3 linked regions of the Arabidopsis thaliana genome follow. The protein of the gene in region 1 interacts with the protein of each later gene in a pairwise test. Each region holds a gene or a part of one and is shown in the gene's direction. Other genes may lie near its edges.

Region 1 (4,089 bases):
GGTGCATGTTGTTTTATAAACAAATTACTACTCCAATGTTATTTAATTAAGTTGTTTAAACACGCTTTTTTGTAATGTTGCATCAGAAGCCCAGCTGAAACAAATGCGGTGGTTGGGCAAATGACGATATTTTATAGTGGCAAAGTGAATGTATATGATGGAGTACCACCTGAAAAGGTAAATGAATCACATAATTCTGTCCAGCCTGAAAATATAAATTTTGATGGTATGGTTTTGATCATTCATCTTGTGTATTGATTTGCAGGCCCGGTCTATCATGCATTTTGCAGCCAATCCAATTGATTTGCCTGAAAATGGTATTTTTGCTTCTAGTAGAATGATTTCGAAACCCATGAGTAAAGGTAAGCATTTGCTAAAGTGTCTGATCTGCTTTTCAGTTGAAAGATTGATGATTCAGACTTGAAATGAGTTTTTTTTTTAATGTATAATCTAACTTGAAAAAATGACTAGAGCTGCTGCATCTCAAGATGAGTCTTTCTTTCTTTCTTATGTCAAACACGGCCTTTCATTTTGTCCAATTTTGAAAGGAGGCATTGTTAAATTACCAAAGAAGCATGTCTAAATGCTGTAATTGCTGCTACCTCTACTAGCTTATGTGTCTACAGATGCCTCGTGCCCCTTTTTTTGAAATTGTGATTTGATTTTTTCAGAGAAGATGGTGGAGCTTCCCCAATATGGACTTGAAAAGGCACCTGCTTCTCGTGATTCTGGTACAAACAGTACTCATTTTACCTTAAAGATATGAAATCCTATTATTCAATGATGCTTTAAAACACCTGAGAGCGAAATTTGGTCCACCTCTTCACCTCTACATGCTACGCTAAACTACTTGCTTGTTCTGCATGATATACGACCATGAAATTCTGTTAATTTAACTATTGTTCTTTTTGTTGGTCTTTTCTGAAGATGTTGAGGGTCAGGCGAACAGAAAAGTATCGTTGCAAAGATATCTTGAAAAGCGGAAAGACAGGTAGTTGTTGCTATTATGCTGTGTGCTTGCTTATTCCAAATCGATGAATACTGATACCTTTCTTTCTGAGCAGAAGATTTTCTAAGACCAAGAAGGCTCCAGGAGTTGCGTCCTCTAGCTTGGAGATGTTTCTGAATCGTCAGCCACGGATGAACGCTGCATATTCACAAAACCTTAGTGGCACAGGGCATTGCGAGTCACCTGAAAATCAAACAAAAAGTCCCAATATCTCAGTTGATCTAAACAGTGATCTAAACAGCGAAGGTATGAACAAGCATTTGTCAAATGGTTCCAATGATCTCCCTTAAAACTCTCATTCGCTTTTTTATAGATAATTAACAAGGTGCCAAAAGAACTGGAGATGGTACTACGGGTCAAAAGGCGGGAAGAACAATTTCATGTTCTTATAACATGTTAGCCATGTACAAAAAGAAAGAAAGCAAACAATGAATGTTCTCGTTCATTGTGGAAGAAACATGGGTTAAAGATTTGAGCTGGATCAGTGCGGGTCTTGTATGGTTTTGTTTTTTTTACGGGTTGCGTCCATCTTTTTTGGTCTGTAGTTTTGAGTAGGTTAGAGAGACGCGAGAGAGAGAGAGAGGATGTGGCGGTTTGTATTATGTAAATGCTTGTCTTATAATGAGAGAGACCTTATTGATGATACCAATCTTTGAGGTCCAAGTAACACAACTTCTTTGTGATTGATATGTATGAGATAATTAATTTGTCTATTTTCATGGCATGATGTATGTGATATGTCTGAGATTTGCAACATTCTTCTATAAAGTTGAGAAATAAGGGTAGTTTAGTCTTTTTAACCAAAGATTTTTATTTATTTGATCTTTTCCCTGTTTTAAAAAGAAGAATCGAGTAATCGGGTGGTTTTGAAGACGAAGAAGGACTAAGACATCACGAGGAACACGATGGGTGAAGCGGTCAAGGTATGTTTTTATCTTTGTCTCCTCTGCTTCTGATCTGTTAATGCCAATCGATAATTCCTAGTTTTGCGATGCAAGCATGAATCGTCGATTGTTATCTGAGTGATTTGATTCATTTTCGACGATTTTCGAATCATCATAACTACTTCTTTTGCTCAAATCTCGCAGTCAGTTTAATGCCTATTCGTATTCAATTTAGTTATGCAATTGACGATTTCTCGAATTGTCTGAAGTTTTGAAGCTAAAATCAGATTAAATATAAAATATCTGAACATTGCCTCCCAAGGAATCTAATCCCATCTTGATGTGCTTTTGCTTAGGATGGGAGAGAAGAAGTGATTCAAGCTTGGTATATGGATGATAGTGAAGAGGATCAGAGACTTCCTCACCACAAGGATCCTAAAGAGTTTGTATCGTTGGACAAACTTGCAGGTCCCCCTCTTTGTGTGTTTCAATTCAATGTTGTTCTCTCTGCTTCTCTATTTTGTTTCACATGTAATGTTTGTGTGCAGAGCTGGGAGTACTTAGCTGGAGACTTGATGCTGATAACTATGAAACCGATGAGGATTTGAAAAAGATCCGTGAATCTCGTGGTTACTCTTACATGGTTTGTGGTCTTTATTTATTTACTATCCCACTAGACTTGAATGGTAGATGTTTATTTTTGTCCAAGTCTTATTTTAACTCTCTAGGGGTTTTCTCAATCTTGGTTTGATGATTAAAAAGTGTTCAAAATGCAGGACTTTTGTGAGGTATGCCCGGAAAAGCTTCCAAACTATGAAGTGAAAGTGAAGAGCTTTTTCGAAGAACATTTACACACTGATGAGGAGATCCGTTACTGCGTTGCAGGAACTGGTAAGAACTTCTTTTACTGGCGGCTTTACTCGTAAACTTAAAATTTCGATATAGTAGTCATGTTTTATTTTCTTGGGAAAAAGGTTACTTTGATGTGAGAGATCGTAATGAAGCTTGGATTAGGGTATTGGTAAAGAAGGGAGGTATGATAGTCTTACCTGCTGGGATCTATCATCGCTTCACTGTGGACTCTGACAACTATATCAAGGTGCAATGTCAGCTTTTCTTCTAGCCATTTATTTTATAGTTTGGGCTTGCTTAGAAAATTGAAATATCTTGTTGAACAGGCAATGCGGCTATTCGTGGGTGAACCGGTATGGACACCATACAATCGCCCACACGACCATCTTCCTGCAAGGTACAATGTCCTGGGTTTTCCCCTTTTGTTTGTTCTCTTATGCAAACAATGGGATATATAATCAAGCAAGAAATTCTGTTATTTTACGAGAAATAAATTCTGATATTTTACAGGAAAGAATATGTCGATAACTTCATGATCAATGCCTCGGCTTAGAGAGCTTCCTCTCTCTATATCTGGCTTTCTGAAACAAGGATCTATAAACAAGGCCTACAATAAAGAAAGCTTTCCTGTCAAGTATTGGATATTTATATGTATTCCTGTGTAGAATGATGGCTTTTGGTATGCTTGAGTTGTTGTAAACTTAGTTACACTCTCTGATATGTCTCTCTTTACCATCTTTGTCGTATCCCATATACGAAAAGATTACATTGGGATTCATATTGTCTTACGTTCGTTCCTATGTGCAATATGTTGAGTTTTTACACAAATCTCTATTCTTTTTTATTTGCTTTTCAAAAACCAACAAATTAGAAGAAACTAATAAGAAGTAATACGTCCAACCGCGTCAACTTCTTTGGTTTAATCTAAACCATGGTTCGTTTGGTTGTTGTTGTGTATCTTAACATGCTGACGGTTTTAAGGATGGTTCGTTTGGTGGTTGTTGTTATCGAACATGTTCACGGTTCTAAGGAAGAAAAGTGTGGTTTTGTGTATTTGTGGTTGGACATAAGATTTTCGTTTTCGTTTACATTTGTGGCTTTCTTTTGTAATTTCCTTTTAGAGTTTGGAATCTCCTTAAATCCGACCTACATTAACTCTATAGTCTATAGAATTGGAGTAATCATTTTATTCTCCTATCTTAATGGATTACAATAAACAGTAGTTGAATGGAAGAAAAAGGGGATATAAAAGTAAACTTAGCAAGTTTAGCAGCCATGATTAGGCTTATAATAATTTATGTAGACGTGGAGCTTACGTGGCAGTCTAGGGAGTTTCCCTGCTCC
Region 2 (3,895 bases), on another chromosome or scaffold:
ATCTCTACCACCGCTCTCTCGTCAGCATCTTCCGGTCATGGAGGGCCTCTTAGGCTCACGAGGATCAAGCTCCTTCGTCCCACGGATACGCTTGTTCTCGGCCACGTCTATAGACTCATTACCACCAAAGGTATATATATTAGAGTAACATGCCTAAATCTACTCCAACATTTCAACTAACAATAATTCTACTCCAACTCTATATTCTTGCATCTCGATTACATATCTCGTAATTGAATTTGAACTATATATTTATTAGTCCGTTTGATAAATATGTTACATATATCTCGTAAGTTGCAACCCTAGGAAATGAATGAGCTATTTCCGCATAGTTAGCATTTGATTTTCTCAAACTATTTGTAGGCGCTTTAGAAAACTTACTTAACCGTACTTATACTTATGTTAAAATAAACACTCTCTTAAAAGTTATATTTATATACGTTTTTGGGGTCTAATCTACAAATTTTGATACTATTTGGGGTGAAATTCAGAGGTTATGAAGGGTTTAATGGCCAAAAAATGTTCGAAGTTGAAGAAAGAAAGTAAAGGCTCGGATGATAAGCTAGAGATGGTGAAAGCAATAAACTCTACTAAGCTTGACAATGAAGATCAGGTAATATGTGATTACAAAGATTACCATGTTTAATTATAGTGATAATTGGTTTTAACTTGGATGAAAAACGTCTATAGCTGCAAATGAAGAAACAGGAGAAAGAAAGGTCAAGAATCTCAAGATCATGGCAGCCATCATTACAAAGCATATCGGAAGGAGGATCAAGCTGAGCAAATTCTAAAACTTTGGGGAATATTAAAGAGAAGCTTCAGAATTTAAGGATATAGTTTGGAAAATATGAAGGCATGTGAGTGGCTAATGACAAAAGCTGGTCCTTTGGAGTATGTGATATTAAAGTGAAAAAATTCGAAAGCAATCATTCAGTTTTTTTTGACTGAAGAAGACTCATTACTTCTTCTAGTAGAATAATACAAAAATTATCAAAAGTTAGCGTTACAAACGTAACCGAAAGCATCGAGCGTGCTTGAAGCTGATCATGTATTAGATAATTGATCCAATGTACTCCAAAGGAGTATTATTAAAACATCTAAAAATTAAAAGAGAAACGAAAAAAGTATGTACAATTAACGAGGATTTGAACGGCGGAAAATTTTTGTCGCTAATCCCTCGCTTATATACAACAGATTTTGAAGATAGACATATCATATCATTGCAGTCTTATGTCCGTTGCAAAATTGTGATGACTAAAAATTGGTAACCAATGTTATAGTCTCTTTTATTTCTTACTGACTCCATCAAAATCTTGCTTGTAAACTTTGGACACTATTTCGAAAAGCAAAAACGTATTAATTTTGGAATTATTAAAACATTAATAGAATATTTAATATGTATAAATCAATAGAATACATTAAACTAATAAATAAATAATACAAAATATGAATTTTAACCATACAAAAAATCTCAACTATAATTTTAAAACCCCTCTAATAGCTAAAACTGTAAAACATATACTGAGTTGGTCTCTGATATTGCTCATAACCGACCGACCTAACCTAACCACACACGGGATACGCTCGATGTTCCCATTCTCCACGGTACTCCAACACTGGCATACAATACAAAACATTGAAGGAGACAGTAATGCCACGTGCACGGCTCTGCACCATAAAATTTAACGCCTCTGATTTAAAACACCACACATTGACAAATTGACATAACCAAAGCTACATAGAGAAAAAACACCAAAAATCAAAATTCCATCAAAGGGGCTTTTAAAATTTTGGACAAGAACAAAAAAAAAAGAAAAATGGCAACGAGAGGAGCTGTTGCTGCTGCTGCATCCACAATATGGAAGCACCGAAGAAACCCTTCTCTTCGATCATTATCTCGCCATTTCAATCCCAATTTCAATCATAGAATCATCCCAACAGGTACAATTTCATTACAATTCTGTTCTAAGATAGATACATGAAACATAAGAGTTGTGTCAAAAGTTCATATCAATTTAGGGTTTAAAGTCAATTGTGGTGTATATGATTTTTCCTTGTAGGGTTTAAATATCAAGTTAGGGCGATACAAGGAACAAGTACTGATCCTGTCATTACACCATTAAAGAACAGAGAGGAACCAAAGCCACAAAACTGGAAAATCAAAATGCTTTATGATGGAGATTGTCCTCTCTGTATGCGTGAGGTCTAAGTTAGACCTCTGTTTCTTGTTTATGTTTGTTCATAAAGTGTTTTTGATACTGAATTTTTGTCTTTTTATTGGTGAATGAAGGTTAATATGCTTATGGAAAGGAATGAAAAACATGGAACTATAAAGTTTGTCGACATAAGTTCAAATGATTATTCCCCGGAAGATAATCAAGGGCTTGATTACAAAACAGTAAATTTACTGTCTTTTAATTTGGTTCAATTTTGTTTCATCTTCTGTTTGATGTTCGAACTTTCGGATTTGATCGAGATCTTTATTAGGTGATGGGGCAGATTCATGCCATTCAGTCTGATGGTAACGTTGTTAAGGGTGTGGAGGTAAGCTTATTAGCATCATTGTTTTACACTAACCATTTCATATTTATCATTTTGGTGTAACGTTTTCAGGCATTTAGGAGATTGTATGAAGAAGTTGGGCTTGGATGGGTTTACACTATCACCAAATTTGAACCAGTAAGCTTTTCTCTCTTTATCTCCTAGTGATCTCTTCCATTGTGTTAAGTTCCGTATTCATGGATAACACGCGATTACTTGCAGATAGGGAAGTTAGCAGATGTTGTGTATGATGTATGGGCTAAATACCGACTTCAAGTCACAGGTATATAAAATGACCTGAAAAATGTTGTACAAGCTTACTTGATTATTTGTGCGTCTCAAAAACTAGATCTCTTTGTTGATTAGGGAGGCCATCTATAGAAGCTATTCTTGAAGCAAGAAAGAAAGATAAGGTAGGGAACAAAGGTTATCGATTTTCTGTCGTAGTAACCTTTGCTCGGTAAAACCAATCAATGATATGATTGTGTTTGCAGGTAGAGACATGTGGTGAAAGCAAGAACTGCAAGATATGAATTTTCTTTATACTCTTTGAATTGTTACAAAATACCAAAACCAGTTTGGAGTTACAAATTTTCTTTATGTGAGTGTGAGAATTTGTATATATATGATACACAGCCCCATTACATTAGCCAAATCATCCTGATGATACATTATACACATGAATAATTTCAGCAAATTTTGAAACTGTTAAGAGTTTTATATTTGGTAATGATTTTGTAAAGGTTAGCTTACTAATGTTATTGAAATATTTGTTTGAATAATGAAAATGAAATTCAACATTGTAGATTTGTTCCCAGTCACCAAAGAAGAAAAAAGGTTGTATGTGAAAAAAAAACTTTAAGAATCAATAGAATATGAGATCAATTTGTTCATTTGTTGAAAACACCAAAAAAATGCACTGCGTCTCACATATTCTCTCTCTGGGGCATTTAATCAAACACCTTCCATGCACCAAATCGCACACATTTCTTCGGAGGAGATTTCACTACAAAGCCCTCTCTAATGCCACCGTAAGCACAACAGCTTCATGTTTCAAAACTCTCAGTTCTAGCCAACAGGACCAAATCCATCTCTACGTTGATACACTTCTCCAATGGAACCAGGTCTCTCTCTATCTCTCGACCCTTTTGCTAGATAAACATGTTGGAACTTTGGAATTATTCGTGGGCATTATTTGTTTGAAAAGATTCGTGAATTTCTAATCAAATTGAAAGCTTTAGAATCCAATTTTGGGTTTAATGGTTGGTTTAAGCTTGTTGCCCACCAAGTATTTGTTATAAGTCCTTACTGGGTCAAAGCATGATAAGTCGAATGCTTTTACCTGCACAAT
Region 3 (4,561 bases), on another chromosome or scaffold:
CAAACAACATAGTTTCATGGAGCAGAGACAACAACAGCTTCATTGTTTGGGAACCAGAGACTTTTGCCCTAATTTGCCTCCCTAGATGCTTTAAGCACAATAATTTCTCCAGCTTTGTTAGACAGCTCAATACTTATGTACGTAACTACTTTTGAGTTTTTGTCTTGGTTATTTTGATCTTCATTAAAAATTAAATCTTTGTTTAATGATCTGTAGGGGTTTAAGAAGATTGATACAGAGAGATGGGAATTTGCAAATGAGCATTTTCTGAAGGGAGAGAGGCATCTTCTTAAGAACATCAAGAGAAGAAAGACATCATCTCAAACGCAAACGCAGTCGCTAGAAGGAGAGATCCATGAGCTGCGAAGAGACAGAATGGCTTTAGAAGTAGAACTGGTTAGACTGCGACGAAAACAAGAAAGCGTGAAGACATATCTGCATTTGATGGAAGAGAAACTGAAAGTCACAGAAGTAAAGCAAGAAATGATGATGAATTTCTTGCTAAAGAAGATTAAGAAACCGAGTTTTTTACAGAGCTTAAGGAAACGTAATCTGCAAGGAATCAAGAATCGAGAGCAAAAGCAAGAGGTGATCTCAAGCCATGGTGTTGAGGATAATGGAAAGTTTGTTAAAGCTGAGCCAGAAGAGTATGGTGATGACATCGATGATCAATGTGGAGGTGTGTTTGATTATGGTGATGAGCTTCACATAGCTTCAATGGAGCATCAAGGACAAGGGGAGGATGAAATTGAAATGGATAGTGAAGGAATTTGGAAGGGTTTCGTGTTGAGTGAGGAGGAGATGTGTGATTTAGTGGAACATTTTATATAATAAACTAATGTATTATGAGAGGTTTTTTTTTGTTTTTTTGCTTTTTTTTTCCGAGTTTGTCATCAAGCATTGTATACAATTTGGGCCAAACTAAAAGCCCAACAAAATATTTGGCCTTGGCATTTGTTAACAAATTGACTAATTCGGCCACACCTTCCACTCCATTGATTGTTCAAAGACGTCTATCAACATTTTATTTCTCCTGAGCACTAACTATAAAGTATTTACATTTTTACACAAATTTTATTGCTGTCAATTTTAAAAAGTAGCTAAAATACGATACAATTATTTTAATTTAAGTCAGTTATACGTTTCGATCGAAGCGCGTGACGAATCGAACCGTTGGATTGACCTTTTATTTAAGAGATATTGCCTTTTATGATCACCCATGTGGCTTTCCTCGATTTAATTTTATTTTTAATTATTAATAATCGAGTGCACGTACTCGCCACGTCATTTTCATGACTTTATTTTTATAAATCTTATCCTCATTTGTACCATTAGATTCTTCCCTCAAATAAAGCCTTTTTTATACGTTACTACTAAATAAATTAATTCCTCCATCTTAGGAAAATTTTCTCTAATTAAGCGACAACTTTCTAATAAATACTGCATTATCAAACGCACCTAATATTACACAAACGATAATAAAATGGATACTTTTCAGATATGTTTTCAAAATCGTTTATCTATTTAATATTATTACACTACCAATAATATCCAGCATTTGCAATGAATGTAATTACGTAATTAAGTCCTATTTTACACGTCTACTAAATTTATAAACTTTTTATCATAAAAATAGTTATTACATTCCAAAAATTACTAGTAACATTCCTATAAATTGCGTTACTATTTATCCAAACAAATTACTATTTTTACAATCTACATTGCCTTATCAAAAGTTTAAAATCAGATAATTGTGATTCCGTTTAAAGATATGATTATCCATCTAATTAACTCTTTTTTATTAACCTCATTGAGAAAAAAGAAAAATATCCAAAACTTTCTTATCCTCTTGAATCACGACACGTGTCAATAACGTAGGGGTAAAATAGTAATCACGTATATCCTACAAGATTCCTTTATAGCCTTCCCGGTCTTTCTTCACTTTTTTCCTCATCATTTTCTCGTTTGCTCCATTTTTTTCTTCTTTCTGCAAATTTTATTTTCCCGAGAAAATCATCACTGAGAAAAATGCTCGCTGTGTTTGAGAAGACGGTGGCGAATAGCCCTGAAGCTTTACAGAGTCCACACTCGTCTGAGTCTGCTTTCGCGTTGAAAGATGGATCTCTCGCTACTCATTTCGCTTCCGTGAATCCCAACTCCGTCACGCTTAACTTCGGATCTTCTGGATTTGTTGCTTACTCTCTTGATAATCCTGATCCTCGTGTTCCTAGGTCAATTTCAAGTCCTCTTCTCTTTGATTATATGCTTGATCTAGTCAAATCTTTGTTGTTTCTTTGATTTCTAAGTAGTAGATTTTGAATCTCCGATGTTTTCGGTTTCGATTTTGTTTATTTCTGGAATCTTCTTGATTTGATCTGCGATAATGTTGGATATATTCGCTATTTTGCTGCAGATTTACTTGGATTGACTTTATTTGGCTTGCGATCTAGGATTTATGGTTTTTGGCTTGCTTGTGTTGGTACTATAGCTTGATGATGATGATGATGAACAGTAACGGTAGATTTTACAAACTACATTAGATGATGATGAGATAACAGTAGCTAGTGATTTTTGGTAGAATCTGGGATTAGAGATTCTACAGCTCCACTAGATGATGATGATGATGATAATGTTATTGTTCTACAAAGTAGATTAGATGATGATGATAATGTTATTGTTCTACAAAGTAGATTAGATGATGATGATGATATTATTGTGAGCTATTGGAGGAATACGGAACTACAGAGTCTATTTAACTCTATTTTTCATCGATAGAAGATGATTGAAAAGATCTACACTGGATTAGAGTAATCTGTGGCTCTTGATTTTGTATATTTGGTAATGTGATTTGGTTTCTATTGAATTTGACAGATTATTTGCTGTGGTGGATGATATTTTCTGTCTCTTCCAAGGACACATTGAGAACCTACCGTTTCTGAAGCAGCAGTATGGACTGAACAAAATCACAAACGAGGCCATCATTGTGATTGAGGCTTACAGGACACTACGTGATCGAGGTCCTTACCCTGTGGACAAAGTTGTTAGAGATTTCCATGGAAAGTTTGCGTTTATACTCTTCGATAGCGTCAAGAAAACTGTCTTTGCTGCTGCTGTAAGTCCAGCAGCTATACATTCTTGATCTCAATGTTTAAGTCGCGGAACTTGATTTACTTGTTGTCAATGTGCAGGACGCCGATGGGAGTGTGCCGTTCTTCTGGGGAACCGATGCTGAAGGGCACCTTGTGTTTTCTGATAACACCGAGATGGTGAAGAAAGGTTGCGCCAAATCTTATGGTCCTTTCCCTAAAGGTACCAACTTTACTCCAAATGTTTTTGACTCTTTTTAAGATAAATAGAATTTACCTATTAGAAAGATAGGTATTAAGATTTTGATAATCTGATCCAAGACTTTGGTTGTTTGTGTGATTGTTGTAGAGCAGCAGTTCACTAAATGATTATATGGCTTTTTTTTTGGTGTTTGAAGGTTGTTTCTTTACGTCGTCGGGTGGATTGAGGAGCTTTGAGCACCCAAAGAACGAGTTGAAGCCAGTGCCGAGAGTGGACAGCTCAGGTGACGTGTGTGGTGCAACCTTCAAGGTTGACGCTGAGACTAAGAGAGAGGGTACCAAAATGCCTAGAGTCGATAGCTCCCAAAATTGGGCCGGTCATATCTAAACCGGAAATCATACACAAATCACAAGCTCAGCATCTTCTCCCTCTTGTCTTGTCCCCTCTCTTTCGTTACATGTTTGAGTTACATTGAGAAAATAATTTCAAACCACAATGTTCTAAACGCGTTTATGTACATGTTTGAGGTGGGATTTGGAAAGGATGTCGAGTTTTGTGAAACTTTGGAATTACGAGACTACTAGACTTTTGTTTCTCTGTTTACGTTTCTTAAATCAATAAATAAATAAGTTTTTATTTCATCATTTGTAAATGCTTTTTGCGCGAAGTTTTTATTCCATTTTTATACACAAGGAAAAAGTGGAAAACATAAATTGATGTTATGCTTCAATTCAGTTTCTCACGTAAGCTAAGGAAGGTTCGGACCATTGATCATAAGGGAAGGGATTGTTAAGATGAGAAACCATATTAAGAAACTATCGGTAAACTATCACAAACTTTGTTTGAAATCGTCCATGCAAGGATCATGTTCATTTTTAACAATTTTTACATTTGAGATGTTGGTGCTGCCATCGCAGTTGTTGGCGCCACCACCAACTTAAACGCATTTGCATTTTCCTATTGATTATAATGAAGATGTTTAGCAAATTGATAGTACGAGTGATTGATGTTACGTCCATATGATCTTTACCAGTAAATATATTGTCTATCATTAATCCTTGCTAATATCACTTGATAAAGGTTAAGAACAAAAACAGTCACTCTTTATACATCATTTGATCTCTTCCGCGAATATGACATCGAAAATGTGTTGTACTGCACAGTGGATATCATAGAGAAGCTAAAATCAGACTCAGACCTTTAGAAAGATTTACATTTAAGAATAACAGTCGAACAAGAATGTGAGTTTTTTGTCAATGTGATACCTTCATCT

Evidence for each region. Proteins that work in one complex are often made in the same cells at the same time.
Region 2: the proteins of ARD1 (region 1) and AT5G50100 interact in a two-hybrid assay, tested with the Arabidopsis thaliana proteins (one large-scale study listed by BioGRID).
Region 3: the proteins of ARD1 (region 1) and AT5G43830 interact in a two-hybrid assay, tested with the Arabidopsis thaliana proteins (2 studies listed by BioGRID).

Annotation. Positions count from the first base shown.
Region 1 is NC_003075.7:8,429,693-8,433,781, reverse strand, and holds ARD1 (acireductone dioxygenase 1), read left to right. Parts: upstream 1-1,818; 5' UTR 1,819-1,914; coding exon 1,915-1,932; exon of another isoform or gene 1,933-2,096; intron 2,097-2,249; coding exon 2,250-2,361; intron 2,362-2,441; coding exon 2,442-2,536; intron 2,537-2,669; coding exon 2,670-2,784; intron 2,785-2,867; coding exon 2,868-2,992; intron 2,993-3,071; coding exon 3,072-3,142; intron 3,143-3,255; coding exon 3,256-3,298; 3' UTR 3,299-3,575; downstream 3,576-4,089. Other genes in the region: AT4G14720 (TIFY domain/Divergent CCT motif family protein), read left to right, coding at 87-177, 266-362, 672-731, 928-991, 1,065-1,299.
Region 2 is NC_003076.8:20,370,096-20,373,990, forward strand, and holds AT5G50100 (Putative thiol-disulfide oxidoreductase DCC), read left to right. Parts: upstream 1-1,702; 5' UTR 1,703-1,820; coding exon 1,821-1,944; intron 1,945-2,063; coding exon 2,064-2,206; intron 2,207-2,293; coding exon 2,294-2,401; intron 2,402-2,490; coding exon 2,491-2,547; intron 2,548-2,616; coding exon 2,617-2,682; intron 2,683-2,766; coding exon 2,767-2,827; intron 2,828-2,910; coding exon 2,911-2,957; intron 2,958-3,038; coding exon 3,039-3,077; 3' UTR 3,078-3,346; downstream 3,347-3,895. Other genes in the region: AT5G50090 (D-ribose-binding periplasmic protein), read left to right, coding at 1-130, 492-613, 691-783; AT5G50110 (S-adenosyl-L-methionine-dependent methyltransferases superfamily protein), read left to right, coding at 3,420-3,668.
Region 3 is NC_003076.8:17,621,707-17,626,267, reverse strand, and holds AT5G43830 (aluminum induced protein with YGL and LRDR motifs), read left to right. Parts: upstream 1-1,908; 5' UTR 1,909-2,028; coding exon 2,029-2,231; intron 2,232-2,871; coding exon 2,872-3,112; intron 3,113-3,188; coding exon 3,189-3,309; intron 3,310-3,484; coding exon 3,485-3,675; 3' UTR 3,676-4,012; downstream 4,013-4,561. Other genes in the region: HSFA6A (heat shock transcription factor A6A), read left to right, coding at 1-137, 217-831; AT5G43822 (Pentatricopeptide repeat (PPR) superfamily protein), read right to left, coding at 4,400-4,443, 4,554-4,561.